Callithrix jacchus: one gene and its partners. The protein of the gene in region 1 binds, or shares a complex with, the protein of each later gene. Links are inferred from orthologs where the notes say so. Each region holds a gene or a part of one and is shown on either strand. Other genes may lie near its edges. The genes, in order: RAD1, HUS1, RAD9A and RHNO1.

Region 1 (5,966 bases):
GCTCATGATCCTCCCACCTCTCAGTCTCCTGAGTAGCTGGAACTACAGGCATATGCCACCACACCCAGCTAACTTTGTATTTTTTTTGTACAGATGGGTTTTGCCATGTTGCCCAGGCTGGTTTCTGAGCTCCTGGGCTGAGATCCACCCGCTTCGGTCTCCCAAAGTGCTGGGATTACAGACTCCCACCATCATACCCAGCGAATTTTTGTATTTTTAGTAGAGGCAGGGTTTCACCATGTTGGCCAGGCTGATCTCAAACTCCTGACTGCAGATGATCCACCTATCTCGGCCTCCCAAAGTGCTGGGATTACAGGTGTGAGCCACCACATCCAGCCTAAAATAAGTTTTAAATGTGCAAAAATATCCATCCTTATTAAGTTGATTTATACTTGTTTTAAATTCTTTTTAGATTCAGCTTTTAAAAAATACATTAGTCTGGGTGGATTTCTTGAGCTCAGGAGTTCAAGAATAGCCTAGGCAACATAATGAAACACCGTCTCTACAAAAAACACAAAAATTAGCAGGGCATGGTGGTGTGCACCTGTAGTCTCAGCTATTTGGGAAGCTGAGATAAGAGGATTGCTTGAGCCCAGGAGATTGAGGCTGCAGTGAACTGTGATCCTACAACTGGACTCCAGCCTGGGCAACAGAGCAAGACCTTCTCTCCAAAAATAAAGTTAAAAATAAACCTTAAATCAAAATAAATAGAGCTAAATCAGAATTAAATAGTGACTAATAAGATGCTAAACGAAAATCTGAAATTGGAGATTCTTTCATCTAACAAAGTTACTAAATGCCAATTATATTAGACACTGTTCTTTGTTCACACTAATGAACAAAAGACAAAAAAAACTATGCTATTTCATTCACATTTAATGGTCCTTAGAATGTTGACTGATTAAATATTTTCATGTATGTTTTAGGTTTGTTTTGTTCTTGGTGTTCATCTAAACAAAAAATATTTTGACATTTAGTAAATTCATCTGTTTCCTACTTGAACACATACACTTTATGAAATTCCAACTTCTTTTGTAGTTGCTAGGCATGCTGAGATTGAGAGACTAGCTAGTTATCAGGTTCTGACCCTGGCTACCTCCCAGAACTGTCCATGTGCCTGGGATCAGTGCCTGCCATTGCACTGGAGCGGCCTCCTTGCAGCACACTCTGCGCAATACTCTCCAAACCAATTTTCTCTAACGCTATGTGACCTATTTTAAGGTAGGCATTCCAGTATATCCTCAAATTTTGGTGAATATCATTGAACAGTTCTCAACAATGAATAGTTGGCACACTTTTATTTGGGGGAAGGCGGTGGTCACAACCATCAATGGGTAAGGGTCAGAAAGGCTAAGTGAATCGTGCAATGGGATGACAGTTTTTTATCCTAAAGAACTGTCCCACCCAAAAGGCTAATAGTGCCTGTCTGTGGAGAGACACTGAGCTGTTTGTTGTTACAAAGACAGAAGCTTCACTTTACTCATGTAATTTTTTCTACTAGAAAATAAGTCAGATTATCACCGGGCGCGGTGGCTCACGCCTGTAATCCCAGCACTTTGGGAGGCCGAGGCGGGTGGATCACGAGGTCAAGAGATCGAGACTATCCTGGTCAACATAGTGAAACCCCGTCTCTACTAAAAATATAAAAAATTAGCTGGGTATGGTGGCGCGTGCCTGTAATCCCAGCTACTCAGGAGGCTGAGGCAGGAGAATTGCCTGAACCCAGGAGGCGGAGGTTGCGGTGAGCCAAGATCGCGCCATTGTACTCCAGCCTGGGTAACAAGAGCGAAACTCTGTCTCAAAAAAAAAAAAGAAAATAAGTCAGATAATTTTAGTGTTGTATTTTATTAAATATAAAAATATTTATATGCCCACAAAAATTATTTTAGTGACAACTACCAGGAAAGTACAAAATCCCCTATAACTGTTTTTTTACACCTCAATTTGTCAAGAAACTCAGAGGCAAATGCAAAGCATCTAATAAGTACTTACTGCAGTTACTTACTGCAGTGAACAGTTTTGAGAAGAAGAAGAAAACCTGTAACTCTGAAAATTGTTTTATATCCCATTCACAGATCTCTTCAAAAGTATACTATAAAAATGAATCACAAAGAATTTTTCAGACTTCTTTGGTGATGCTTCAACTTCAGAACATTTGCAAGGAAATGACATGTAAAAACAATCACCTCAATACAATTAAACTTCTTTTTTTTTTTAAAGTTTCCTTTAAAACAGTGGTTCCCAAAATTTAGCATTTATCAGAATCTCCTGAGGGAAGCCAGTTAAAATACAGAATGCTGGCTTCCTCCCCAGAGTTTGCTACAAGTTTGCAGGCAGTTCTGATGTTGGAGCGGGCACAACACTTTTGAGAACCACTGCTTTAAGATCTAGTCTCTAGAAGTCAAACTAAGAGGCAACGCCCATATGTCTTTCCTTATTCTAACGGTAAATAAATAAAAAGAATATTTTAAGTAGCTGCATCAAACTTTCAGTCTTTAGATTCCTGGAAAGTTCTAATGAAATAAAACGTTATTTCTCATGGCTCACAATTATTCTCATGAGTCCAGAAAGAACTACAGGACAGTCCTGAATAATCTACGACTATATAAAAACATTTATTTACACGCCCTCTACAAACTGTATTTACAAAACACATAGTAACGATTGGGGTACACAACCTTGCTCCTTTCTTCCCCATGCTTATTCTCTACAGAAAATCCAATATGAAATTATAGAGTATTGTACTCAGAATAAGAACTTCATTTATGTACACATAAATATCATGAATTGTCATATTGAAGATTCAGATTCAGGAACTTCTTCATCAGGGCAGCAGTAATATTCTACAAAACATATTTGTCCGTCTTCATTTCTAATCATATACTGCAATGAAAGGAAGCCTCTGTTATCTGTCCGAATAGATACTTTACAAGATAGGACTAATGCCTTTGTAGAGGGTTTCAGTAAGGAAATCTTGTATCTGTAGAAGAATAAATAAAAAGCTGTTATATCAACACAGTTAACATTGCTCAGAGTTCCAAGTAAAGGACAAAAAGCAGCAAATCTAAGAATAAAATCAAGTACTTATGCAATTTGCTAATATTTTCTTTTTTTAAAATTCATCCACTGTTAGCATCCTACATCCCCTAGTAAGTCCAGCACTCTACTGTTCATGTTTATAAAATGCTGTGTATTTTTATTAACAGACAAAGTGGGGGTTTTTTCTTTTTTGAAATGGAGTCTCACTCTGTTGCCCATACGATCTCAGCTCATTGCAACCCCTACCTCCTGGGTTCAAGCAAGTCTCCTGTCTCAGCCTCCCGAGTAGGTGGGACTACAGGTGTATGCCACCATGCCCAGCTAATTTCTGTATTTTTAGTAGAGACAGGGTTTCACCATATTATTGGTCAGGTTGGTCTTGAACTCCTGACCTCAGGTGATCCGTCCCCCCTTGGCCTCCCAAAGTGCTAGGATTAAAGGTGTGAGCCACTGTGCCCAGCTGAAAGTGTTTTTATTTAACAGAAATCTGGTATTTAGCCTTATCTTTATCACCAATGGCAACCTCTATATTAAGGACTGACCTGTTGACTTGGGTCTGATTACAATGAAATGCTTCCATCAAATCAGAATCTTTGGGATAGTCAAGGTGGGAACTTCCTGCATTTCCAAAAGTAGATAACCTATAGAAAATGATTACTTCATTTATTCATTGGTCCAGAAATAAACCACATTAAGATCCAAATAAACTAAACACTTCCTTAAGAAATCCATACTAGTGGGTGAAACAGACATGTACACAAATAGTTACAATACAGGATAACAAGTACCATAATAAAGCTCCCACAGGATGCTGTGGGAGTTCAGGGCAACTAGCAACTAATCAACAGCTTTGAAGAAAATTAATTGTAAAAGGAAAAGGGCAGGGCACAGCTTTAATTTCATTACCCTAATCCTATTCTGGAAGTAGATTTTCCTCATCCTTAAGTCAGAAATATATAACAGGAGAGAGAATAGAGGACTGATGGAAGACCTTGATCTAAGTTAACTGCAAACCTCAGGTTCTGTTCCCAATCCTATACCAAGCAATTACAGCTTTTCTGTATCTTAGATTGCTCCTAAGGTTATTTCATGGTTTTCCTCACTAGGTAATAGCAGACGTTATGTGTAAACAACTTATAAATGTTAATGTGCTGATTTCATCTGCTAGACTGGAGTATTTCCTGCAGTTGCTAAGTGTTGCATGAGCATAATGATATGACCCAGGTGTTGGTTTTCCCTAAGCTCCATTTCTACCGTCCATCTTCCAGGTGCTGTTTTTCCCCGGGTTCATCTTTTCTTTCTAATATAATCGCTCTCTCTGACCCGCCTCATCTATGCCCAGCCATTATGATGGTTCCCAAATCTAAATTCCCAGTCTAGATGGATCTCCTGAGCACCATAACCACATATCCAGCTATTCCCTAGTGTCACAGGTACTTAAAATTTAACATATCCAGAAAAAACATTTCAACTCCAACCTCCCTACCACCAAATTGTTTCCTAACTTGGAGATGAAAGATACCATGATCCACCTAGTTACCCAGGCTGAGAGATCACTGAGAAGGAGATCCTCTGAAATATTGTTTAAGTACCTGAATTTTTCACTTCATTCCACAGCTAAAGTAGGGTTTCCAATTTCCATTTTGGTTAATACTTTGTCAGACCGTGATCCAAATTTTTAACTGCCCAAAGTCATGAGAAGGACCTGTAATTCTTTTTCTTTTTTTTTTTGAGAGTCTTGCTCTGTCACTTAGGCTGGAGTGCAGTGGTGCAATTTTGGCTCACTGCAACCTTCGTCTCCTGGGTTCAAGTGATTCTCCCCACTTCAGCCTCCTGAGTAGCTGGAATTACAGGCACCTGCCACCACACTCAGCTAATTAGACAGGGTCTCACCATGTTGGCCAGGCTGGTCTTGAACTCCTGACCTCAAGTGATCCACCCACCTCGGCCTCCCAAAGTGCTGGGATTACAGGTGTGACCCACTGCACCCAGCTGGGTCTGTAATTTTTCTAAAGCAGTTACAAAAAGAATACCTTATACCTTTTATTCCATATGTATTTAGTGCCTTTATTTAATATTCTGAAATTTTTCAAAAGAGAATATTTAGATCCTCTTGCTAGAATTTCTAAACTGAGACTAATCCTGGAAAGAGACTTGTGTGAAAGAATAAGGAGCAGCTTTTTTGACATTGTCTTCCTGCTGAAAACTGCCCTCTCTTTGGAAGTGAGCATCGAGCTATCCTCCCTAAATCTTTATTCAGTGTTTCCCAGGGATCTCTGTGTGCTATCTTCGTACTTAATGGTTTGCTGTTTCACATATCTTGGCTTCACCTTAATTTTAAGTTGTTATTCCTACAATGGTCAATAAGATGAATAAGCACATGGTAGGTGATCAACAGATACCTTAGTGAATGAATGAACCACATGTAGAAAACATGTTCTGCATCCTGAACTAACTTGAAAAAGATACCATATAATACAAATACCCTTTCCAAACACTTAAACCCAATTTTCCTCATGATGTAACCTGATACATGACAGTAAGTAGTATGAAAACATTACTAGTTTAGAAATTAGGGGACCGGGCTTCTCATCTACATGCCAACACCATCTAAATATGAAATAGTGAGTTAATCTTTCTGGGTCTTAAGTTTCTTGATCCATAAAATTATGAGTAAGAGTACAAGCTATTTAAAGTTGTGAAAGCTCTAAAAATGTGGATAATAAAAATTCTGCATCCTAAGCAAATGTCTAGAGGGAAGACAGAGTACAGACCACATGAACTATAACTCCACCGCTCTCAAGTACCTGAAATAAGGCTTGTCAGGAGACATCGTAATCTGTAAGACTTCACTCGTCATATCCAATTCAGAAAATGCTTCACGGAGTCCCTCTGACTGCAGAATAATTTTATTAATAACATTGGTG
Region 2 (7,084 bases), on another chromosome or scaffold:
CACATTAAATGTGTAGTTATAACAGCTGGTTTATTTATATTTTATAAAAATAGGACACTAATTTTCACATTCTTTTCTCATTTTCCCCTTTCCTGTTTTGTAATAGTTATATTATATCTACATCATCGAAGCATAAAATTATTACGTGTTCTGTCCCCTTCACTCCTGTTGTTTAGTTTTGGTTCTACAGATCAAAATAAGGCTCATACTGTTTATGCTGTAACTTCTCCAATCTTTTTTTTTTGTTATCAAAAGCTTATTCTCTAGCGTATCACTCAGGAAGGACTCACGGGAATAGGATTTCATTGGCTGTCACGGGTTCGATGTCAGTATGGCTCACTGTACTGCATTCTCTGCTGGTGTAGATTATTGCTATCAAAAAGATGATTCCATTCTGATTTTGTTTCACAGCTTGGATTTATTTACTTAAAGGTGGGGACTAAATACCATCGGTATTTTTTCCATTTTTAAAAAATCCAGTTGTCTTGGCATCCAAGGTCAGTTTTCCCAGGTGTGGTGTGTCCTTTCAGTATGTGGGCCCAACACTTCATTCACTTCAGGAACGTTTTCAGCTATAGTGGACAGCATTTCTTTTCCAGTGCTTTTTTTTTTTTTTTTTTTCTGGGACTCAGAGGGCTTGGGTCTTCTTCACCATCTTCTTTATTATTTTCTGCCAAATCCATTTTATGTCTTTTTTTGTTTGTTAAATTTTATTTTTCTCCTTTCCATCCCAGTTTCTCTTACTATTCTCTCTGTAATGCCTGTTTGCTCCAGTCTTCTTCCTTCTAAACTAGTTTCTGTTTCTGAAATTTTTTCTTAAATTTCTAATTACTTCCTGTGTTGTCGGCTGTGTTTTCATATGTGCATGCTGTGTGGTCATCTCATGTCTGAGCTTTCCTGCTTCAGATTTATGTTGTTCTTTCATAGCTTCTATCACTGTTCATTTCTTTTAGTTGGTCTTGAAATAATAGGCTATACTCTGCATCTAGTTTGCAGAGTGCCTTTAGGTTTCTAAGTGTGCTATTTAGGTATTACAATTTCTGCTTTTCTTTTTTCCGAATATCATACGGAAGTCGACCACAATCCATTTTTGTTGCTGTTGTAGGTGGTTTTCCTGGTTCTTTTAAGAGGAAGTTTCAATGTTGGAGTGGGAGTGGACCAGAATAGTTTTCTAACTTTGTGACTCTAGAATTCTCCATTTTTTGTTACCACAAAATATTAAAACATGCATCCTCTCCACTTCCCAGGACTTTCTGAGATCTGTCCCTCTTTTTCCATCATTTAAAGTTTCATTCCCTTTTTTTGCCCGACATGCCCATTCTGCTCAATTGAGGCTCTTACTTCTGTGGTTCCTTCTCAGTGCAGGACTCTCCCACTCATCAGCTCCACCCAGCCCTCCCTTGAGCTGCTCTTGTGCTCCTGTAGTCTCCTGGCAAGTCCTTCTGAGTTCCACCTGTTTTCACATCTTCACTGAGTTCTCCATTTCGGGAGGCAGGCAGGGGATTTCCCCTTTAAGATTTTTGGGAGATTTCTGAGTTCTAGGCTCTTAGGCCTTATCTTCTCTCTTTTGCTGATACCACATGGGTCTGAGTGTGCTCTGAGGTGTTTTGAGGTTTTGTAGGTTACTTTGTGATCTGGTTGCATGAAAGCTGCTGCCCATGGAGTTTTTTCCTTTTGTCTTCCTTTTTTAAGACTATGTAAAATACTTAATTTGCAGGTTATTGAAGCAAACCGAGATGGAGAATTGAATTTGAAAATAGAAACTGAATTAGTATGTGTTACAACTCATTTTAAAGATCTTGGAAATCCTCCATTAGGTAAGTTTTCTAATGGGTTATATTTTGCTTTTGGTAACTTGTTTCAGATAACCTACCTATTGAGGTCTCCTCATGTAAAAAGGTTGAAATTCAGTTTACTTTGTTTCATGCTTGGGGAAATAACAAAGGAATTGAGATTGGACTACGCATCACTGTAGCGTAGTGGGACAGTTAGCCACCAGGGGGAGGGGCTGTGCCACCAAGTAGCTAAGGGATCTATACAGGGTCTCTGTCCTCTGTAGAATTCAGTTCAAGTTGAATAACCTCCAAGATCCCTTCCAGCTCTTCAATTCCTGTTCTACGCCTAACTGGAATGGATTCAGAAGGGTTGATACACTTGTTCTTATATTCTCCTTTAGTTCCTTCCGTATGTATGAAGTTAGTGTAGCAGATTTAAGACTGTTTTACTTGATCACATTTCTCATCTCATACAAGGTAATTAGGGATGATGGAGTCAGTTCAGTAGGTGGGGAAAGAAAGGACGATTAGACAGTTTGGTGCGTCATAAGCCAAGATGGGGTTGGAATCATGGCTGGAAATTGGGCCGCTGTACAGTCCCAGGGGCTGCCTGATCAGGAAAGCAGGCAAAAGACCACAAGAGAAACTCCTATGGATGATGAGAAAGTCATTTTATGATACAAGGTGTTCCAGAAGCAAAAAACAGGCCCTAGTCAGTTTTAGAATTAAGTTACTACAGGTTTGCTTGAATGTAAACACAGACTTTAGCACAGAGTTGCAAGGAACTTTTATTTTCTAGTTAAGAGTATCCTATTTCAGCAGCGTGGAATCCATATGGTTAAGGCTGTGATAATATTGTATAAAGTGATTCATTCTGATGTCATTCATTTGTTTATTTTAATAAACACAAGATGGGACTTAACTGTGGTACTTTCTCAGAAGTTGAAAGGATGTTTTCTTTTTTTTTTTTTTTTAATTTCACTTTGGAATTACAGGCCCTGTATTAATTAATGTATATATTTTTACTCTTAAATACATAGTGAGTACTAATAAATATAATTTTCTTTGACCTAAAGAGGGAGATTGAGTCATATTTCAAGTCCCCTGTAAATAAAGAGGCCCTGGAAATGATCATAGTAGTTTAAATAGTTAGGACCTAATGCTTAATGAATGACAACATTTACAATTTTCTCTAGGATGGTAAAACCAGTGCTAAGGTGAATCATTTATTTAGGTAAAATGCATTGAGCATCTCCAGGTTTCCTGATATGTGTAAAGATGTTGTCTTTAAAAGCATTCCTGTCATTTTAGCCTCTGAAAGCACCTCTCAAGACAGAAACCCAGAACACATGGCTGAAGTACACATAGATATTAGGAAGCTCCTACAGTTTCTTGCTGGACAACAAGTAAATCCCACAAAGGCCTTATGCAGTGAGTTTGCTTCTCTTTTATTTTTCATATTTTAAATAATTCTGTCAACTCGAGTCTAACAGATTACATATAGTCTCATAAATGCAAGAAAAAAAAAGCTCAATTATGTAGACTTTAGCTTCATAGGACAGTCGGGTATTTTAGATTTTCCTGGATTCCAAAGGACCTAAAGGTGGCAGCAGAGAAACAATCCCTGGGCACTCTGTTATGGCCGAAAACCTGCAGCCACACTGGTTGGTAGGTGGGTTGTGTGCTGCCTCATTTGGCCAGCATACCTGGAGGCACTGTCAGGAGGATGGGTGCTGATCATCCCACCTTCTCCATGGTCATCTCATTTTACCTACTCAGAGCCCCAGACATGGTTTTGCTTGGATTTGAGTTTTCCCTTGTGATGTCTTGTTTCCTTTCTGTGGCTGTGCTGGTCTGTGCTTGCTGCCCGCTATCTGTCCCTCAGCTGCTGGTTGCTAAATGTTGCCTCTTGATTCTGGCTGGGCCCCATCTTCTGCAGTCACACACCTGCTCCGGCCCTCTTCATCTGCTGACCACACATGAGAAAGGCATTGCCTACCAAGAGCTTTTCAAGGCATTTTTTTTTGCCTTACTACTAGAATCACAGCAACCTAAAAGAAACTGCAGCCTGCATTTGAAGTTCCACATTTGGTAGAATAGCTCCCAGGCTGAGCTGAGAGGGAGGTTGGCCCCATACTGCACCTCATCCCCTTCGGATCTGCAGTGTGCTGTAGAGAAGGAACAGAATATTCTGGGTGGCAATGTCAAGGACCAGCCCTTTTGAATGAGACATGAAGAGAATCAGAAGAGACCATGGGAGGGGCAATGGGTGTTTGGGAATTGGGGAGGGCATCAATTGGAGTGATGGGCGCAGAGGGAGATATCACCAGAGGAGCAGCTTTAGGTTAGAGATGGAAAAGCTAGGCTAGCCCAGATCATCGGGAGTTTTAGGGTGAGGCACCTGTGCTGCATTTTAAGGAACTTTGACATAGATGGTGTCATATTTCTAGGGCTGAGCATAGTGGGAGCTGTGTGGTAGTGCAGGGTCCTTAAAGATGCTTCTCAGAACCTTGATGTGCATGGGGGTCACCTGGAGGTCTGGTAAAGCAGACTTTGTGTTCATAGTTTGGGCTGGGCCTCATGGCTGCATTTCTCACAAGCTCCTATACAATGCCCAGACCCTTGGTCCTGACAAGCACACTAAATGGTGAGAGGGTGAAATACACCTCCTCTCTGCAGAGTGCGGAAACATAGGATGTGGGGGACCCCTGTGCTGCACAACATCAGTCTTTGAACTTGACATTTGGGGGACCTTCTGAATCCAAGGCTGGTCAACACAGTTCTTATCAAAGGTGCTTGACTAAGTTACATGTCTTCTCAACGTTCAGTTTGGTGTACCCAAGTGTAGCACAAAAAACCCTAGGTTGAACTTCTCATACCTTCTCCTTAACTTTCCAAAGCTCATTTTCTGTCTGTGTCAGCCTCCTCCAGGTGCTGGCTCAGTTGTCCCCTCCTCTATCTAGGTCCTGCCACCCTCAGTCTCTGCCTCCCCGTGCCCTTGCACTACCTCTCCTAAAGAACGTTTGTCTTCCTGCGTGTGCTTTTCCATCCTTTCCCCAACCTCCCATCTCCTGGGATTGGCCTCTGCAGCCTGCTCACGCATGGTTTCTCGTCACTCACTTGCATCTGCTGGAGTGCTTTCCTTGGCTGCTGTGCTGCAACTCCCCGAGATCTCCGTGGTTGTCACACTGTATGCTCCTGCCCGCCCTCACGTGCTCTTTACTTCCCTGCTTGGTTGTATGCCTGATGCCTTGGATTTTAGCCATTACTCAGCACAGTGGCTGGCTGTGGCCCTCACAGGATTGGCAAGACTGTTGAGATGCAGGGGTCCATCCCATGCAGCAGTGTGTGACACAGCCTGTCCCAGGTGCTTGGGGATCGTGGCTCTGAGCGCTTCTGAGCACAGTTCTCTTTTCAATGATGAGGATCTGCTCTTCCCCGCAGAAGGACGCTGATGTGGGTAAATCTGGTTTGCCAGGAAGCCAGCCTGCTGGGTGTTTTGCCAAGGGCTTGGCAGTTTCACTCTTCCTCTCCTCGCCGCAGGGAGCCACCAGTGCTGGGGCGGGGATGCAGCGTCAGCTGTGGCAGTGAGAATAAGAGACTGTGGCCTCCGTAGCTGCCTCAGGGAAGACAGACGCCTAAAGCAGGTGGAGGCCGGGAAGGCTGCTCTGCAAAGTGGGAATGAAAATGTGCATGCACTAGGTCTCTACCATCACGGCTCTTCTCTTTCCAGATATTGTGACTAACAAGATGGTGCATTTCCATCTGCTTCATGAGGACGTCTCCCTTCAGTATTTCATCCCTGCGCTGTCCTAGCACCCTGTGGTTGGAGTTGGCACACAGAGACTTTGTCAGGATGGGAGAGGCCATAGACGCTGTGTTCCCACTCACTGGTCTGTGTCCTCACAGCACCGCACATCGACACACTGTACTTATTTATCCCTCTCTAACATTTCAACTAAAAATTGATTGAATGACACACAGTTGGATAAACATATCACTTCATGTTGTTCATGGCTGTTTTGTTTTGTTTTTAAGACATTAAAAAGAAAAGCTAGAATTTACTCAGACTTTAAATAACAGTTTCTCATTGATGTTGTGAAAATGCTCGTGTATTGAGTAGACTTGGTGTAGTAGCCAGAATTCATAAAGCTGTTGCCTGAGAGCTTGGTGCTTTCCCTCCGGGCAGAGACTCTAGCTCAGCACGGCATGTACCGCACAGTCGGTCTTGCATTTCAGTGTGTTCACTTAGCTTGCTCCTGTCCCCCAGGGCCCAGGGACAGAAAGGACAGCAAGCCTCTGTCACCTCACCGCCACTACCTTGGTCACTCAGAGTACTGTGGGGTGCCACAGTGCAGCATTTGGAGTCTCTTTCTTTCTCGCTGAGAACTCGAGCCCACCTGGGCCCACTCCCCTTCTGATGCCTGGAGAGCTGGCCCAGCCGACACAGCTCTTATCTGCTAGCTCTTTCTGCCGTTCCAATTCGTTTCTTCCTGGGGCCAGTTTTGGTTTTAGGTTGTAATTCCTTATATTTCTTTCTTCCACAGTGCATCGGATATGTCATTCTGGAAAGAAGACCCTTCTACTTAGAGTAGAAACAAACGAAACTTACAAGGTATCATCTGTGTTAAGTGATGAGACCATATATCTTTGATGTTTCTGAATATCAAAGCTGATTCGGTACTGGTAGATGTTCTCATTCTCCCAGAAACATATCTATCATATTTCCTGTTATAATTACATCTCATTGTCCTGTGGAGGTGGACATGATCAACATCTTTTGTTTTCTTGCTTTGTTTTATTTGAGACAGGGTCTCTTTCTGTCACTCAGACTGGAGTGCAATGCCACAATCATGGGTCACCACCTTGACCTCCTTGGCTCAAGCCATCCTCCCACCTCAGCCTCCTGACTAGCTGGGACCGCAGGTGTGTGCCACCACACCCAGCTAGTTTTTAATTTTTTCTAGAGACAGGGTCTCACTGTTTTGCTGGTCTTGAACTCTTGGGCTCAAGCCACCCACCCACCTGGGCCTCCCAAAGTGCTGGGATTTCAGGCATTAGCCATCACACACCCATCCATAAACATTATCATAATGTCACATTACAAAATTGAGACCTAAGTTGCTTAGAATAAGATGAGGAAATGGAAGATTAGCTAAAATGAAAATTTATTATTTGGCTTTTTCATGTTTTTTGGTAAAACCAGTGTGTTTGAATGGTTCTTTTGATGTTTAATCATGTTTACATAGGATGGAATATTTTGCTTAATTAACATTTTAAAATTACCATTTTAATTTTTAAACCCTTTC
Region 3 (7,671 bases), on another chromosome or scaffold:
GTTTCGCTGTTGTTACCCAGGCTGGAATGCAATGGCGCGATCTCAGCTCACCGCAACCTCTGCCTCCTGGGTTCAAGCAATTCTCCTGCTTCAGCCTCCCGAGTAGCTGGGATTACAGGTGTGTGCCACCATGCCCAGCTAATTTTTGTATTTTTAGTAGAGATGGGGTTTCACCATGTTGACCAGGATGGTCTTGATCTCTTGACCTTGTGATCCACCCGCCTCGGCCTCCCACCGCGCCCGGCCAGATCTTGTTTTTCTATAGCCTTAACCTCCGGGGCTCAAGTGATCCTCCTGCCTCAGCCCCCTGAGTAGCTGGGACTACCTGCACACACCACCATGCCCAGCTAATTTATATATATATATATTTTGTAGAGGCGGGGTTTTACCATGTTTCCTAGGCTGGTCTCGAACTCCTGGGCTCAAGCAATCCACACATCTCAGCCTCTCAAAGTGTTGGAATTACAGGTGTGAGCCACCGTGCCTGGCCCATCTTTCCTATTTCTATCCCTCTTCCTAAGATTATGCTCTCTGCCCTGTGATACACTACCCTGATTTGGGGAAGGGGCTGGATTCTGCTCCTTCCCTCAAAGCTGTCCTCAGAGATGGGAGCTGGCACCAAGCATTCTCAGTGATTGAGACTTCATGCCCAGTTTTAAGAGTGAACCTCTCACCCAGGCCCTCGTGTCCTCAGAGATGGGAGCTGGCACCAAGCATTCTCAGTGATTGAGACTTCATGCCCAGTTTTAAGAGTGAACCTCTCACCCAGGCCCTCGTGTCCTCAGAGATGGGAGCTGGCACCAAGCATTCTCAGTGATTGAGACTTCATGCCCAGTTTTAAGAGTGAACCTCTCACCCAGGCCCTCGTGGGACTCCCAACACTGCTCTAACCCTGAAGTGCCCGGGGGCGGGGACTTGGATTCTAGCCCCAGCTACAGTCTCTGTTTCTTTCTGTAAAGCAAAGGGATTACACCTGAAATCCCTAAGTACCCCTCTTCACTTTGATGCATTTTATTTTATTTTTATTTGAGACTGGGTCTCACTCTGTCACTCAGGTTAGAGTGCAGTGGGGTGATCTCGGCTCACTGTACCCTCTGCCTCCCAGGCTCAAGAGATCCTACCTCAGGCTCCCGAGTAGCTGGGACTACAGGGCCACCACGCATGGCTACACTTTGATACTTTTAAACAATACATGAGGCCGGGTGCAATGGCTCATGCCTATAATCCCAGCATTTTGGGAGGCAGAGGTGGGCAAATTACCTGAGGTTGGGAGTTTGAAACCAACCTGACCAACATGGAGAAACCCCATCTCTACAAAACAAAACAAAAATTAGCCAGGCACGGTGGTGGGAGCCTGTAATCCAAACTACCCAGGAGGCTAAGGCAGGACAGTTGCTTGAACTCAGACGGTGGAGGTTGTGGTGAGCCAAGATCGCACCACTACATTCTAGCCTGGGCAACAGAGCAAGACTCTGTCTAAAAACAAACAAGCAAACAAAAACATGCTATCTAGACATTGTGAGAACTTAGCCTGTACCTCCCTTCCAGAAGAGGAATGGGTGGCACCTATCTGGGTGGTATGCCTAAGGGTCACAAGATGTGGGGTACAGGGAAGCTAGTTCTGACTCCTGATCTATCCTGCTGAGCAAACATTGGGGGCTGCCTCCTATTCTTTGGCCAACCAGGAGTCCTACCCAGGCTGCCCTTTCCATATTCCTAGGGCTGCAGGTGGGTGGGTGGTGGCGAGAGTGTCGGGGGAAGCCAAGGCCAGGCCCTGCCCTCCTGCAGCCTGCGCATCTCAGAAGGCAGATCCCATCAGGAACTCAGATCCATGGGACTCACTAGAATCCATGAGGATTCCAAGGAGTAAGAAGTCAGCAATCAGGAAAAGGAAGACTGGAGGGGAAACTGCATCAAAAATGCAGACAAGAGGGTGCCAGGCATGGTGGCTCACCCCTGTAATCTCAGCACTTAGGGAGGCTGAGGCAGGTGGAATGCTTGAGCCCAGGAGTTGGAGACCTGCCTGGGCAACACGGTGAAACCCCATCTCTACAAAACAAAATAAGAACCCTATGGGCTGGGCGTGGTGGTTCATGCCTGTACTCTCAGCACTTTGGGAGGCTAAGATGGTTGAATCACCTGAGATCAGGAGTTCGAGACCAGTCTGGCCAACATGATGAAACCCCATCTCTACTAAAAAAAAAAAAATTACAAAAATTAGCCGGGCATAGTGGTGCGTGCCTGTAATCCCAGCTATTTGAGAAGCTGAGGCAAGAGAATTGCTTGAACCGGGGAGGCGGAGGTTGCAAGATGGAGATGGCACCACTGCATTCCAGCCTTGGTGACAGAGGGTGACTCTGTCTCAAAACAAAACAAAACAAAACAAAAACCCTCTGTGTACACAAAGCTCATAGAAATTGCTAAAGGGTCAAAAAAATAACAAAGAAACATATAAAACGAAAAGTAAACTGACTCCTACTCTGTCTTCCAGTCCTTCATGTCTACTCAGGCAATGACTGCAGCTGCCTTCGAGGCCCTCCAGGTATCCCATGCTTACGTAATCAAATATATTGTTATGTGTATTTTTATTTTTATTTTTGAGACCCAGTCTTTCTCTGTAGCCTAGGCTGGAGTGCAATCTTGGCTCACTGCAACCTCTGCCTTCGGGGTTTAAGCGATTCTCCTGCCTCAGCCTCCTGAGTAGCTGGGATTATAGGTGCCCACCACCGCACCTTGCTCTATTTTTAGTAGAGAAGGGGTTTCATCATGTTGGACAGGCTGGTCTCGAACTCCTGACCTTAGGTGATCCACCCGCCTCGGCCTCCCAAAGTGCAGGGACTACAAGCGTGAGCCACTGCGCCCGGCCAGATCCTAGGTTTCTAGATTGTCATTGTTTGAGCCTAACTCGAGAGTGGGGAAGGTGGCTCCCGGGCAGTCAACTGAATGCACAGTTCCGCCCAAGGAAGGCCCTGGGTCCGGAAGTGCTCGGAGCTCGCGAGTGCGAGGGTCCGGATGGCTGCTGCTCCCGGAGCCCGCTTTCAATTCCCACTGGGCACAGGAGCCCCTCAGCAGCGCGAGGGGTCGCCCAGCCCGGACCCGGAACACTTGCTGCACGACCGTGGCGCGCGTCCCTCTGGAACCAGCTCCCACAGTCCGAGCGTCCTCCCTCTTCTGCGTCCGGCTCTGCCCAGGCTGGGGCGGGGCCTCAGAAGCGGCCGCCTTCGCGCTAGCCAGCACAGTCCCTCGTCATGCCAACTTTTCAAACGGCAAAATCAACCGCGCTGAAGAGACTGTGCCTCCGTCTCCTCACTGCGTATCTCAGTTGCCTCAGAGAAACTATCTTTCAGACCTTCGCGGTCTCTCCCGCGCCCGCAGCGCCCGGGAGCTGGGGACCGGGACTTACCCACATCGACTGCGACGTTTGGGCGCCACCTTGCGTCCGTTCCGTTAGCCTCCATGGACAACCCGGAAACCACATTTCCCAGCGTGCCTAGCGCCTCTGAGCAGGCGCAAAGAGTGTCCCCTCGTTGCCATGGGAACCTCGCCCCTACTTAGAGTCCCGACCGCTTGACTCCACGAAGCGCGAACGTGTTGTTTCTTCTTGAGGTGCGCTGGGGCTGGGACCCGGTTTGCAGAAGGTCCGGGGGGCGGGGGGCGGCGCAGGGGACTTGAGGAGAGGAGACCAAGCCGGCCTTGCCTCCGAGACCAGCGCTTCCCAATTCTCGGCGGCGTCCCGGCGTCCACACGCTGCTGAGGCCTCGGCGTTCTCAGGAGAGGGACTGGCGAGGCGACCCGGGTCCGCGAGGCCGGGGTCCGGTTGTGGCCCGCGGAGCCCCGCTCGCCTGCACCAGCGTCTGGTCACTTCGAGCCGAGGGCCCTGAGCGTGGCGGACAGGTACTCCCGGGCGCTGGCAGCCCGCGGGGAGGGTTCGCGCCGCAGGTGAACGCGGAGGTAGAATCGGGCAGGGCAGTGAGTGCGCCCGAGGCTGGATCTGGCTCAGCCGCTGGTGGATTCGGAGCCCGGGAGGCCCCCAGGCGCTGTGGGCTTCAGCTCCCCGGCTCTGTAAAATGGGGCTTGGACTAGAATTCTAGTGCCCGTTGCGATTCCGTTGCAGAGCAGGCCCAGGCTCTGTGCGACCTACCAGTTCCTTCCTCTGTAGAATAAGGGGTCTGAAACAGAAGCCTCTTCTGAGGGTGCAGTATGTCACACACTACTGGCCTCATTGCTCCATGTTGCACCCCAAGTGCAAGAAGAAAGAAGAGTCCTGAGATGATCTGAGCAAGACTCTCAGCTTGGGATCTAGAGTCAGAGAAACTTGGGTTTCTGACTTTGGACAAAGTTAGCCTCAGCCTCTTCATCTGCAAGACTGGGGATAATGGTAACACCGCCTCGGATTTTTGTGGATTAAATGAGATGATGCATGTAAGGTGTTTTTGTTTTGTTTGTTTTGTTTTTGAGACGGAATCTTCCTCTGTCGCCCAGGCTGGAGTACAGTACAATGGCGCGATCTCGGCTCACCGCAACCTGTGCCTCCAAGGTTCAAGCGAGTTTCCTGCCCTAGCATTCCGAGTAGCTGAGACTACAGGCCTGCGCCACCACGCCCGGCTAATTTTTTGTATTTTTAGTAGAGATGGGGTTTCACCGTGTTAGCCAGGATGGTCTCAATCTTCCTGATCTTGGCCTCCCAAAGTGCTGGGATTACAGGCGTGAGCCACCTAGCCCAGCCCTACCAGCTCCCCCGCGACCCCCCCGCCCTCTCAGACATTGTTTTGCTCTTGTTCCCAGGCTGGAGTGCAGTGGCACGATCTCAGCTCACTGCAACCTCTGCCTCCCAGGTTCAAGCGATTCTCCTGCCTCAGCCTCCTGAGTAGCTGGGATAACAGGCATGCACCCCCATGTCCAATTAATTTTGAATTCTTAGTAGAGATGGGGCTTTTCCATGTTGGTCATACTGGTCTCTAACTCCTGACCTCAGGTGATCTGCCCGTCTTGGCCTCCCAAAGTGCTGGGATTACAGGCTTGAGCCTGGCCACATGTAAGTTTTTAGTCCAGGGACTGCATAGAGGGAGTGCTATCCCATGTCCTAGCTCTCATTTTTGATAATTTTTACAACAGTCCCTAGCCACTGTAAGACCTTTTCTTAATATTTGAAGTCATTTTATTTCTGGGCAAATCCATTTTCCTAGGCAGGACAGTTTTTTTGTTTTCTTGTTTTGAGACAGGGTCTCTGTGGTCCAGGCTGGAGTGCAGTGGCATGATCTCTGCCCACTGCAACCTCCTCTGCCTCCTGGGTTTAAGCGGTTATTATGCCTCAGCCTCCTGAGTAGACAGGACTACAGGCATGTGCCATCACGCCCGGTGAATTTTTGTATTTTTTGGTAGAGATGAGCGTTCACCATTTTGGCCAGACTGGTCTTGAACTCCTGGCCTCAAGAGATCTGTCCGCCTCAGCCTCCCAAAGTGCTGGGATTACAAGCATGAGCCACCTTGCCCAGCCTGAAGTTATTTTATTAGACATACATGCTGTCTCAGAGCCATTCTTCTAGGGGAAGAAGGCGAATGGGCAGATCATTATGGGGCAAGGGCCATATTGTTGGCATCTTTAGTATAGTACCAGCTAATTGAGAGCCAAGGGAACAAGGTGCATAAATGGATAGGGGGTTTGTGAGCCTCTTTCCCTGGAGCTAAGGTGAAGAACCATGAGGGAAAGAAACTGCAGCACAGGATCATGTAGCAGTCCTCAGGACCAGTGATGGCAGTGATGGGTAGTCCCTTGACTCCTGTGTTCATTCTTGGCTTTTTTTCTTCTATGGCTCACTCCTTCCTAGGGAGGTTTCTCTCCCATCTGTGACCTAACTGGGAATGGGAAACTCTGTCCACCATGCCAACAGATTGCCAAGGCCTGCAGCTGCTGCACAAGAAGGAAGCTGGCTTCAGTAGCACCATCTTCAGGCTGACTTCCAGGGCCCTGCCCTTCTCCAGTTCTGTCCAGGGCTGAACCTGCACTAGGAGGTAGCCTTGAAGGACGCCCCTTAGAGATGGGTGTCTAATGGCCTGGAGAGGGGAGAACTACCTCAGGACCTGGGACGGCAAAAGTGGAAAAGGTTGAAAGGAGAAAGGCCTGAGGACAAGTCCTGTTTCATTCATCAAAGGTCTTAAGGTCTTAATTTCCTGCTGGAATCTTCTGTTGCTCAGAAGGTGCAGTCGTCCTCAGAACAAGGAAGCTGGGGAGAAATTAAGCAGGTGCAACCAGAGAGGAGATAGAGCACAACTGACTGTCTTTTTTTGTCCCTAGATTTGGGAGGCTGGAGGACATCTGGGGGCCACAAATGCTCCTTTTACTAGAGACTCAACTCAAGGTGAGCCTTTACACCATCCTTCTGGCAGCCTGTGCTCCCATCTCAGAACAGTTTTTCCTTTTCATCCTTCTTTCCCAGTTCACTCCTACTCCACAGGCCACAGGTAAGTGCCTGCAGGGTGCATCAGGATTTCCTTATAGCTAAATGCCATGTGAAGCCTGAGGAACTCCAGGCCTGGTACTTGAGAAAAGGTTATGGCAGCCCAGTGCCCACCACAGAGGCTTCTGTCTGCCTGCTTCAAGGGCATTATGGTCCTGGACGATTCACTAAGTGCTGGCACTTACATGAGATCTCATTGGATCTCAACAGCTGTAAGGTCTTGTGTTATGACTTTCACTTTTCCACATGAGGGATCTGATTTCTTAGGTTGTAGGTCAAAGAACTGAATGATGCCACTGAGACCAGTGATCTTTCCACTGCTTCCATTATCACTGATAGGATGCCATCTGTCTCCTAGTGAGAGCACTGTCCTAGGAAAACCTGAAACTAGACCAAGACTCTCCTTTTCCCATTTCAGCTAGAATTTCCTGCCCATTTTCCTCAGTGTTCTAACCCAGCACAGCTTCTCCCCGTCATTGGACACATTTGATCCAAGTTTCTCACTCTTATGCCCTCAGTGATGCTGACTTGTTCTCAGGGCAGTGGCTCCCATCAGAGAGCTCGTGCTCTTCGCCTTGACTCCTCCAGGTGCACTCTCTCCCAGGTAGGCGTCCTGGGTAGCTGTGAGTCTCTAGGGAATTCTGTTTCTGGGTTAGAGAACCAGGAATGGGAAAAGTGTTCCCCCACTGGGTGGGGAAGGAAGTTGGCAAAAATTTGCCTGATGGGATTGGCCTGGGTAGTAATGCTATACCCTATGTGACCCCATCTCATTGGCACCCCTGACAGAGCAGCTCAGTGAGCTACAGAGGTAGAGGTAGAAGGTGAGTGTGGCAGGGAAGCTGAAAGCCCAGGCTAAAGGCTAAAGCAGGACCCCACCTGCTGCTGGCATAACTCAAGCCAGAGCCATGGAGGTGAGGTGGGAGACAGGTTTGGGTAAAGGAGGATGCCCCTGGGGAGAGGGAGCTGGTTATATGCATCCTACATAATCGATCTTCACATGGCCTGAGAAGGCTTGGGGCTGGTCTGGTTTGCCCATAACAGCAAACCCAGGCAGCGCGCACTGCTATGCAGCTCCTCTCTTCGTTTGGTGGACTGACTCCCATCCTTTCATGGTCCTCCACCCTCTCTGGTGGCTCAGCTAGGTGCCTTCTTTAGCTTTGTCTGCCATCTGAGTGTTCCTATAACAGGCTGAACTCTGCCTTCTCAGAATGTC
Region 4 (7,674 bases), on another chromosome or scaffold:
TCAAGCGATTCTCATGCCTCAGCCTCCCAAGTAGCTGGGATTACAGGCACCCACCACCATGCCTGGCTAGTTTTTGTATTTTTGGTAGAAACAGGGTTTCACCATGTTGTTCAGGCTGGTCTGAAACTCCTGACCTCAGGTGATCCACCCAGCTCAGCCTCCCGAAGTGCTGGGATTACAGGCGTGAGCTACGCGCCCAGCCAGGCCTTTTAATTTTTGTGTTACTTCGTAAATAGGACCAGTGCAACAGAATCAGGGAAGAAAGGCAGACTGTACTATTGCCACACCACTGGAAAAATCATCTCCTAGTTTACAAGACCTCACATAAAATGGAAACCTCTACTGGAGGCCCATGTAAAGTTGTGCAGCTTGTGCTCTGAACAGCTCTAGAGGGTGACATTTATTTCTCAGGCTATTATACTTGCTCGAATTTTAAAAGAATATGTTTTCTTTTACAATTTGTACTATATTTATCCAATGGCATTTTAGTACTTGCACATGGCTACATATATTTTAACTTTCTAAGCATGCCACTTCATTAATTTCTTTTCTAGAACTAAGACTATAATCCCTGCCTCCTTACTACCAGAATGTGCTATCATCAATACACTAAGGTGGTTCTCAAATGCTAACAGTGTAGCTTTTTCTTTTTTAAGCATTTCGTTCATTTTTTTTTTGAGACAAAGTTTTGCTCTTGTCACCCAGGCTGGAATTTAATGGCACGCGATCTCAGCTCACTGACACCTCTGCCTGCCTCTCAGGTTCAAGTGATTCTCCTGCCTCAGCCTCCCGAGTAGCTGCGATTATAGGCGTACACCAACACGCCAGTTAATTTTTTTTTTTTTTTAGCAGAGATGGGGTTTCACCATGTTGGCCAGTTTGGTCTCAAACTCCTCAGGTGATCCACCCACCTTAGCCTCCCAAAGTGCTCAGATTACAGGTGTGAGCCACTGTACCCAGCCTTTATTTTTTTTTGAGATGGAGTCTCGCTCAGTTGCCAAGGCTGGAGTGCAGGGATTACATCTCGGCTCACTGCAACCTCCGTCTCCCAGGTTCAAGCGATTCTCCTGCCTCAGCCTGAGTAGCTGGGATTACAGGTGCCCACCACCACGTCCAGCTAATTTTTGTATTTTTAGTAGAGACAGTGTTTCACCACGTTGGCCAGGCTGGTCTAGAACTCCTGACCTCAGGCGATCTACCCACCTCAGCCTCGCAAAGAGCTGAGACTACAGGTGTGAGCCACCACACCCAGCCTGATTTTTAAAATTTTTTTGAGATGTTGTTTTGCTCTTGTTGCCCAGGCTGAAGAGCAATGGTGCGATCTTGGCTCACTGCAACCTCCACCTTCCTGGGTTCAAGTGATTCTCCTGCCTCAACCTCCACCTTCCTGGGTTCAAGTGATTCTCCTGCCTCAACCTCCCAAGTAGCTGGGATTACAGGTGTGCACCACCATACCTGGCTAATTTTGTATTTTTAGTAGAGATGGGGTTTCACCATGTTGGTCAGGCTGGTCTCAAACTCCTGACCTCAAACTTCTGCCCATCTCAGCCTCCCAAAGTGCTGGCATTACAGGTGTGAGCCACCGTGTCTGGCCCTTTGCTGATTTTAATAGATATATGGAATATTCTACTATTAAGTAAACTTGTATAATTCTATTTCATGGAACTATGGGAGACAGAGGAATTGGCTGTTTCTCTCTCTCTTTTTTTTTTTTTTGAGACAGAGTTTTGCTGTGTTGCCAGGCACCAGGCTGGAGTACAGTGGTGCGATCTTGCTCACTGCAACCTCCACCTCATGGGTTCAAGCAATTCTTCTGCCTCAGCCTCCCGAGCAGCTGGGACCACAGGCGTGCGCCACCATGCCCAGCTAATTTTTGTATATTTTTAGTAGAGATGGGGGTTTCACCATGTTGTCCAGGATGGGCTCCATCTCCTGACCTTGTGATCTGCCTGCCTCGGCTTCCCAAAGTGCTGGGATTACAGGCCTGAACCACCGCGCCAGGCCTTGGCTGTCTCATTTTTAGGACACTTGTCTCCCTGAAAAGCAACTGCACTTTCTTGACATTTGCCATCTGCATAGAGTTCACAGGCCCTCCACACTTCTACCTTCAAATCTGTTTCACCTTCACCTCATATCTTTCCAGGCCTCCCTCTCTCCCTGCATCAATCAGTAGATACTGTTATTTTTCCACAGGATATCTAAGTCTTAAGTTTCTCTTCTAATTCCTGACCAACCTCTTAGTATTATTGCCGACACTTTCTTGCCCGGGAAACTTCCAGAGTGGCTCCTCTGACCCATCCCCATCCCAAGCGGGGAAATCTTGCTACATTCTCAAGAACCAGGAGAAGGGTGGTGGCCAAAGGGTAAGATGGAGGCAGTGTTGCCTAGTGGTGAGACAGCCTGGGAGCAGGGGAGTGTGTACGTATGTTGGTCTTTGACTCAATATAGTACAAGCTCAGTCTTCATCGCAGCCACAGTCGGCCTAAGGAAGAAAGTAGGTCACCCCAGCCCTCCCGAGGCTGTGGGCAGGGTGCAGAGGTCAGACTTCAGGGAAGTCCATGGGGCGCTTTAAGTAGTGAGAATGCCAAGGCCAGGAGGTTGGATGCAGAAAAAATTTGCACCCTGGCTCAGACCTTCTCCCCGTATGGCCCAAACCTCCACTGGTGGCCCGTGCCCTGCTGCTAGACGCCCTGACCTCCGCACCCGGAGGCCTTGCTCCCCGCCTGTGCCTAGGCCAGGCCTGGGACTCCATTCCTGCATCCCGCTCACCTCCAGACTGCAGTCGCCGCCGCCGTTGGGCCGTGGCTCCGAAGGCGGGCTCCGGGCTCCTCCAACCTGGGGGCCGAGCCCGGACCCCGGACGGGGACTCGCGCCGGACCGGCCGGGTCCCCGGCGGTGCGGGCGGGGTGGGAACCCCGGGGGATCCCGGGAAGGGAGGGGGTCCCTGGCCGGGGCCGGGGGTGGGGTCTGGCACCGGAGCTTTCAGTTTGTTCCGCTGTTTGAAACTGGCGCCGGCGGAGCGTTAAGGTCACGTGACGGAACGTCGCCAATCGGCGCCGGCTTGTCTCGGCATTCGGGGCTCGAACGCGGCGCGGTGTGACAGGAGCGGCGGCCCTGGCCGGCCCGGGCTGGTAAGGCGGCCCGCTGGCCTGTTCGTGGGGTAAGAGGTGGCCGTGAGGTCAGGGAGGGGCCGGAGGGGTCTCCGCGGCGTGGGTGGGCGAGCAGAGGGACAGTTTGGGGACGCGCGGAAGCGGCGTGACAGGCCCGGCTCCCTGGGCCCGCTTCCCTGCCGCCCTAGCCAAGTCAGGCGACACGCCCCTGTCTCCCCTCGAACTGCTCTGCTCCCCTTTTCAAAGGTCGGCTTTACTTGATTTCCTTCCCAGGGGAAATCGTACCCAGTTTTCCTACAGCGAACGATTATTTGCTCCCCGCGATTAGCCCGAGGGTTCTTTGAGGGCTGCGTGTGATCTCAGCTTTCTTCCATCTTGGAAAAAATGTCGGCACCTTGAGCCCTACGTGCGCGCGAAATCTTAAGGTACTGACCTGTCTTTGCCCCTCCCAAAGCTAAGCCTTCGGATACAATAGACTGTAGTGCTTTATTTATTTACTTAGCCTGTCTAGTTGAACAACTACTATGTGCCAGGCACCGCTAGGCCCTGAGGGTACAATGGCAGACAAGGTTCTTAACTTCCCTTGGACTCACAGCCCAATCCTGGGAGAGGGGCTCAGACGTTTTTAAGTAATCAAATAAACAAATGTGGGCTGGGTACGGTGGCTCACGCCTGTAACCCTAGCACTTTAGGAGGCCGAGGCAGGTGGATGGATTGAGGTCACGAGTTCAAGACCAGCCTGGCCAACATGGTGAAACCGCTTCTCTACTAAAAATTAGCCGGGTGTGGTGGTGCGTGCCTGTAGTCCCAGCTACTCTGGAGGCTGAGGTGGGAGGATGACCTGAGCCGGAGAGGTGGAGGCTATGGTAAACTGTTACACCACTGCACTTCAACCTGGACGGAGGGAGTGACAGAGGGAGACACCATCTCCAAAACAAACAAACACACAATAGTGGAATTACTGCTGTCAAGTGAAACAGTAGAGCTTAATGATACTTTGAGTATTTACAATAAGGAGATCTTGAGAGGTAGGACAGGAAAGGCTTTTCCCGTGAGAGCTTGGTGTGTGAGATCTGGTACCTTTTACAAAAAAAGGAGGGAACCTCCATAAGCAGAGGGAATCAGGTGTGCAAAGGCGGCATGGCAGGAGTAAGCACGGTGAGGAATATCTGAGGGGTTTGAGCTAATCAGCCTGAGTGGAGTGTGGTGTGAGTTGAAGCTGGAGGCAGAGGAAGCAGGCCTTCGCCATACTGAGAAGTTTTATGCTTATCCAAGAATAAAGGAAATCAATCATAAGCTTGAAGCAGAAGTGAACTGAGGTCAGATTTGCATTTTAAAAGGTCCCTCTACAGCAGGGGTTGCTAGAGTGGATTAGGGCAGACCAGTTGGATATTGCAATACTCCAGGCAGGAACTGCTTGAGCTTGAAAAAGGTTGTCAGGGAGAGAGGAAGAAAAGGAAGGAAACAGAGAGTGAAAAAGGGGCATTATGAAAGGTGTTTAAAAGGTAAAGTTGACAGGGCTTGATGGTGGGTTGGATGGGAGGTGGGAAGATAGAAGTGTCAAGATATTTGGCTGCATAATTGAAAGAATAATGACACCATTCCCTGATCAAGAGCCCTGGAAGATAATCACTTTGGCCAAGGGGTGGCGGTGAGGTTGTCAGGGAATGACTGTGAATTCAGTTTTTGTTTTTTACTACAAAGCAATGCTCAGAATGAGTTCAGTTGTTTTTTTGGTTTTGTTTGAGACGGAGTCTCGCTCTGTTGCCAGACTGGAGTGCAGTGGTGAGATCTAGGCTCACAGCCACCTCTGCCTCCTGGGTTCAAGAGATTCTCTTGTCTCAGCCTCCCAAGTAGCTGGGATTACAGGCACGTGCCACCACACCTAGCTAATTTTTGTATTTTCAGTAGAGATGGGTTTCACCATGTTGGCCAGGATGGTCTCGATCTCCTGACCTCGTGATCCGCCTGGCTCGGACTCCCAAAGTGCTGGGATTACACGCCTGAGCCACTGCGCCCGGCGGAGTTCAGTTTTTAAAAAAAATTTTATATATTTATTTTTATTTATCTTTTTATTTTTTAGAGACAGGGTCTTGCTCTGTCCCCCAGGCTGAAGTCCAGTGGCATGACCTTGGCTTACTACAGCCTCAGCCTCCTGGGCTTAGGTGATCCTCCCACCTCAGTCTCCTGAATGGCTGGGATTACAGGCACATGCCACTATGCCCAGCTAATTTTTGTATTTTTTGTAGAGACAAGGTCTCACTCTTGCCCAGATTGATCTTGAACTCTTGGGCTCAAGGGATCCTCCCACCTTCACCTCCTAAAATGCTAGCATTACAGGTGTAATGCCAGCCAATGCAACCGGCCAAGTTCAATTTTAAACTTGTTGAATTTTTTTTTCTTTTCTTTTTTTGAAGCCAGTTTCTGGCTCTGTCGTCCAGGCTGGAGTGCAGTGGTGCGATCTCGGCTCACTGCAACCTTCGCCTCCTGGGCTCAAGTGATCTGCCAACCCCAGCCTCCTGAGTAGCTAGGATTACAGATGCCCACCACCAAGCGCACCTAATTTATTGTATTTTTTGTAGAGTTCTGGTTTCGCTATGTTGCCCAGTCTGGTCTCAAACTCATGAGCTCAAGCAATCGCCTGCCCTGGCCTCTGAAAGTGCTGGGATTACAGGCGTGAGCCACTGCGCTCAGCCTTAAACATGTTGAATTTGAGGTGCATTTGAAATATCTAGTTGATGTTCAGGTAGGTAGTGGGACTGAACTTAAGGAATTCTAAAATGAGTATATAAATATTGAAGTCATCTACTTATAGGTGGTTACGGAAATACAGGTAGATGAGTTTGCCTAAGAAAAGTATATAGAGTGAGAATAGCTCCGAAGCACAACCAGAGGGGAAGGACTTAGATACCAGAATGAACTGACCTCTAGTTAGAGCAGAAAGAAGATAGATGCTGATATGCATAGGTTTGTGTGTTTGCTTTCTGTAAAATCCGAGTATTTCCTTTGATGTCTTCTGCATTCGTTGTCAAGTCTGAAGTAAAATCATTTGTTAACAGAAAAGGGGTGTTCTGACATTCTAAGAAAGTGGGCAGGGTATGGTGATTCACACCTGTAATTCTAGCACTTTGGGAGGCTGAGGCAGGAGAATCACTTGAGCCCAGGAGTTCAAGACCAGCCTGGACAACACAGCAAGACCCCATCACTAAAAAAAATAAAATAAAATAAGAAACCAGCCAGGTGTGGTGGTGCTTGTCTATAGTCCCAGCTCTGCAGGAGCCTAAGGCAAGAGGATCTCTTGAACCCAGGAGTTTGAGACTGCAGTGAGTTATGATCATGTCACTGGACTCCAGTCTGGGCAACAGAGCAGGAACTCACCTCTAACAGTAATTTAAAAAATTAAAATAAAAATTTTCAGCCTGGACGTGGTGGCTCAGGCCTGTAATCCCAGCATTTTCAGAGGCTAAGGTTGGCAGATCACCTGAGGTCAGGAGTTCAAGACCAGCCTGGCCAACATGGCGAAACCCCATCTCTACTAAAAAATATAACAATTAGCTGGGCATGGTGATGGGTACTTGTAATCCCAGCTACTCAGGAGACTGAGGCAGGAGAATTACTTGAACCTGGGAAGCAGAGGTTACAGTGAGCCTAGATTGCACAACTGCACTCCAGCCTGGGCAACAGAGTGAGACTTCATTTCAAAACTAACAAACAAAAATTTCCACTTTTTTTTTCGAGATAGGGTCTGTCTGTCACCTAGGCTAGAGTGTAGTGGCATGATCATAGCTCACTGCATCTTCAGACTCCTAGGCTCAAGTGATCCTCCCACCTCAGCCTCCCAAATAGCTGGGACGACAGGTGTGTCCCACCATGTCCAACTAATTATTCTTTTAAATTTTTAGTCAAGACGAGGTGTCACTATGTTGCCCAGGCTGGTCTTGAACTCTTGGCCTCAAGCAGTCCTCCCACCTCAGCCTCCTAAAGTTCTGGGATTATAGGCATGAGCTACTGTACATAACTTGGAGAAATTTTAACATAATCTTTGTGGAGAATGAGTTGATCAAGGAAACAGGATTGCTGAGCAATGTACCCATTTGAAGCTGATGACTTTCAGCAAGTCATGAATTTCAACGCCATAGCCATTGCTACCACTGTCATCTTTCCGCTGGATTTCTATGGTAGCTTTTTGTTTGTTTTCCAGACGAAATCTCACTCTGTTGCCCAGGCTGGAGTGCAGTGGTGCTTGGCTCTCTGCAACCTCCACCTCCCAGGTTCAAGCAATTGTCCTGTCTCAGCCTCCCGAGTAGCTAGGATTATAGGTGTATGCCACGATGTCTGGCTAATTTTTGTATTTTTGTATTTTTTTTTTTTTTTGAGACGGAGTTTCGCTCTTGTTACCCAGGCTGGAGTGCAATGGCGCAATCTCGGCTCACCACAACCTCCGCCTCCTGGGTTCAGGCAATTCTCCTGCCTCAGCCTCCTGAGTAGCTGGGATTATAGGCATGCGCCCACCATGCCCAGCTAATTTTTTTGTATTTTTAGTAGAGACGGGGTTTCACCATGT

The links.
Region 2: the proteins of RAD1 (region 1) and HUS1 are in contact, whole or in part, in a crystal structure (PDB 8GNN), measured with the Homo sapiens proteins. The link is inferred for Callithrix jacchus from reciprocal best matches to the Homo sapiens genes RAD1 and HUS1. Residues at the interface, in NP_002844.1 of Homo sapiens: Asn85, Val88, Asp91, Cys92, Ser94, Ile95, Phe96, Gly97, Ser98, Gly127, Val128, Val129, Thr130, Val131, Cys132, Lys133, Ile134, Asn135, Gln137; in NP_004498.1 of Homo sapiens: Thr165, Ser168, Val169, Lys172, Met173, Asn175, Ile176, Glu197, Leu198, Val199, Cys200, Val201, Thr202, Thr203, His204, Phe205, Lys206.
Region 3: the proteins of RAD1 (region 1) and RAD9A are in contact, whole or in part, in a crystal structure (PDB 3GGR), measured with the Homo sapiens proteins. The link is inferred for Callithrix jacchus from reciprocal best matches to the Homo sapiens genes RAD1 and RAD9A. Residues at the interface, in NP_002844.1 of Homo sapiens: Glu165, Ala166, Ser168, Glu169, Asn195, Ala196, Gly197, Ser198, Ser199, His200, Leu201, Asp202, Tyr203, Pro204, Asp206, Ser207, Glu211; in NP_004575.1 of Homo sapiens: Leu76, Ser82, Val83, Ser86, Leu90, Lys92, Leu112, Phe116, Gly117, Val118, Arg119, Lys120, Thr121, His122, Asn123, Leu124.
Region 4: the proteins of RAD1 (region 1) and RHNO1 are in contact, whole or in part, in a crystal structure (PDB 6J8Y), measured with the Homo sapiens proteins. The link is inferred for Callithrix jacchus from reciprocal best matches to the Homo sapiens genes RAD1 and RHNO1. Residues at the interface, in NP_002844.1 of Homo sapiens: Asn47, Gly48, Ile49, Lys50, Phe64, Ile65, Gln66, Ser149, Lys155, Ile157, Glu211, Ala212, Lys240, Val241, Ser242, Arg244, Gln254, Tyr255, Met256, Phe266, Glu268; in NP_001239428.1 of Homo sapiens: Ser55, Trp56, Val57, Ser58, Pro59, Asp60, Phe61, Asp62, Thr63.

Annotation. Positions count from the first base shown.
Region 1 is NC_133503.1:170,716,662-170,722,627, reverse strand, and holds the end of RAD1 (cell cycle checkpoint protein RAD1), read right to left. Parts: coding exon 5,847-5,966; intron 3,681-5,846; coding exon 3,582-3,680; intron 2,981-3,581; coding exon 2,791-2,980; 3' UTR 2,592-2,790; downstream 1-2,591. UniProt on the Homo sapiens protein: Component of the 9-1-1 cell-cycle checkpoint response complex that plays a major role in DNA repair. The 9-1-1 complex is recruited to DNA lesion upon damage by the RAD17-replication factor C (RFC) clamp loader complex.
Region 2 is NC_133512.1:15,508,280-15,515,363, reverse strand, and holds part of HUS1 (checkpoint protein HUS1), read left to right. Parts: intron 1-1,717; coding exon 1,718-1,817; intron 1,818-3,086; coding exon 3,087-3,206; intron 3,207-5,508; coding exon 5,509-5,591; 3' UTR 5,592-7,084. UniProt on the Homo sapiens protein: Component of the 9-1-1 cell-cycle checkpoint response complex that plays a major role in DNA repair. The 9-1-1 complex is recruited to DNA lesion upon damage by the RAD17-replication factor C (RFC) clamp loader complex.
Region 3 is NC_133511.1:124,398,381-124,406,051, forward strand, and holds the start of RAD9A (cell cycle checkpoint control protein RAD9A), read left to right. Parts: upstream 1-3,526; 5' UTR 3,527-3,894; intron 3,895-6,295; 5' UTR 6,296-6,359; intron 6,360-7,671. UniProt on the Homo sapiens protein: Component of the 9-1-1 cell-cycle checkpoint response complex that plays a major role in DNA repair. The 9-1-1 complex is recruited to DNA lesion upon damage by the RAD17-replication factor C (RFC) clamp loader complex.
Region 4 is NC_133510.1:16,195,672-16,203,345, forward strand, and holds the start of RHNO1 (RAD9, HUS1, RAD1-interacting nuclear orphan protein 1), read left to right. Parts: upstream 1-3,068; 5' UTR 3,069-3,160; intron 3,161-3,383; 5' UTR 3,384-3,535; intron 3,536-7,674. UniProt on the Homo sapiens protein: Involved in microhomology-mediated end-joining (MMEJ) DNA repair by promoting recruitment of polymerase theta (POLQ) to DNA damage sites during mitosis.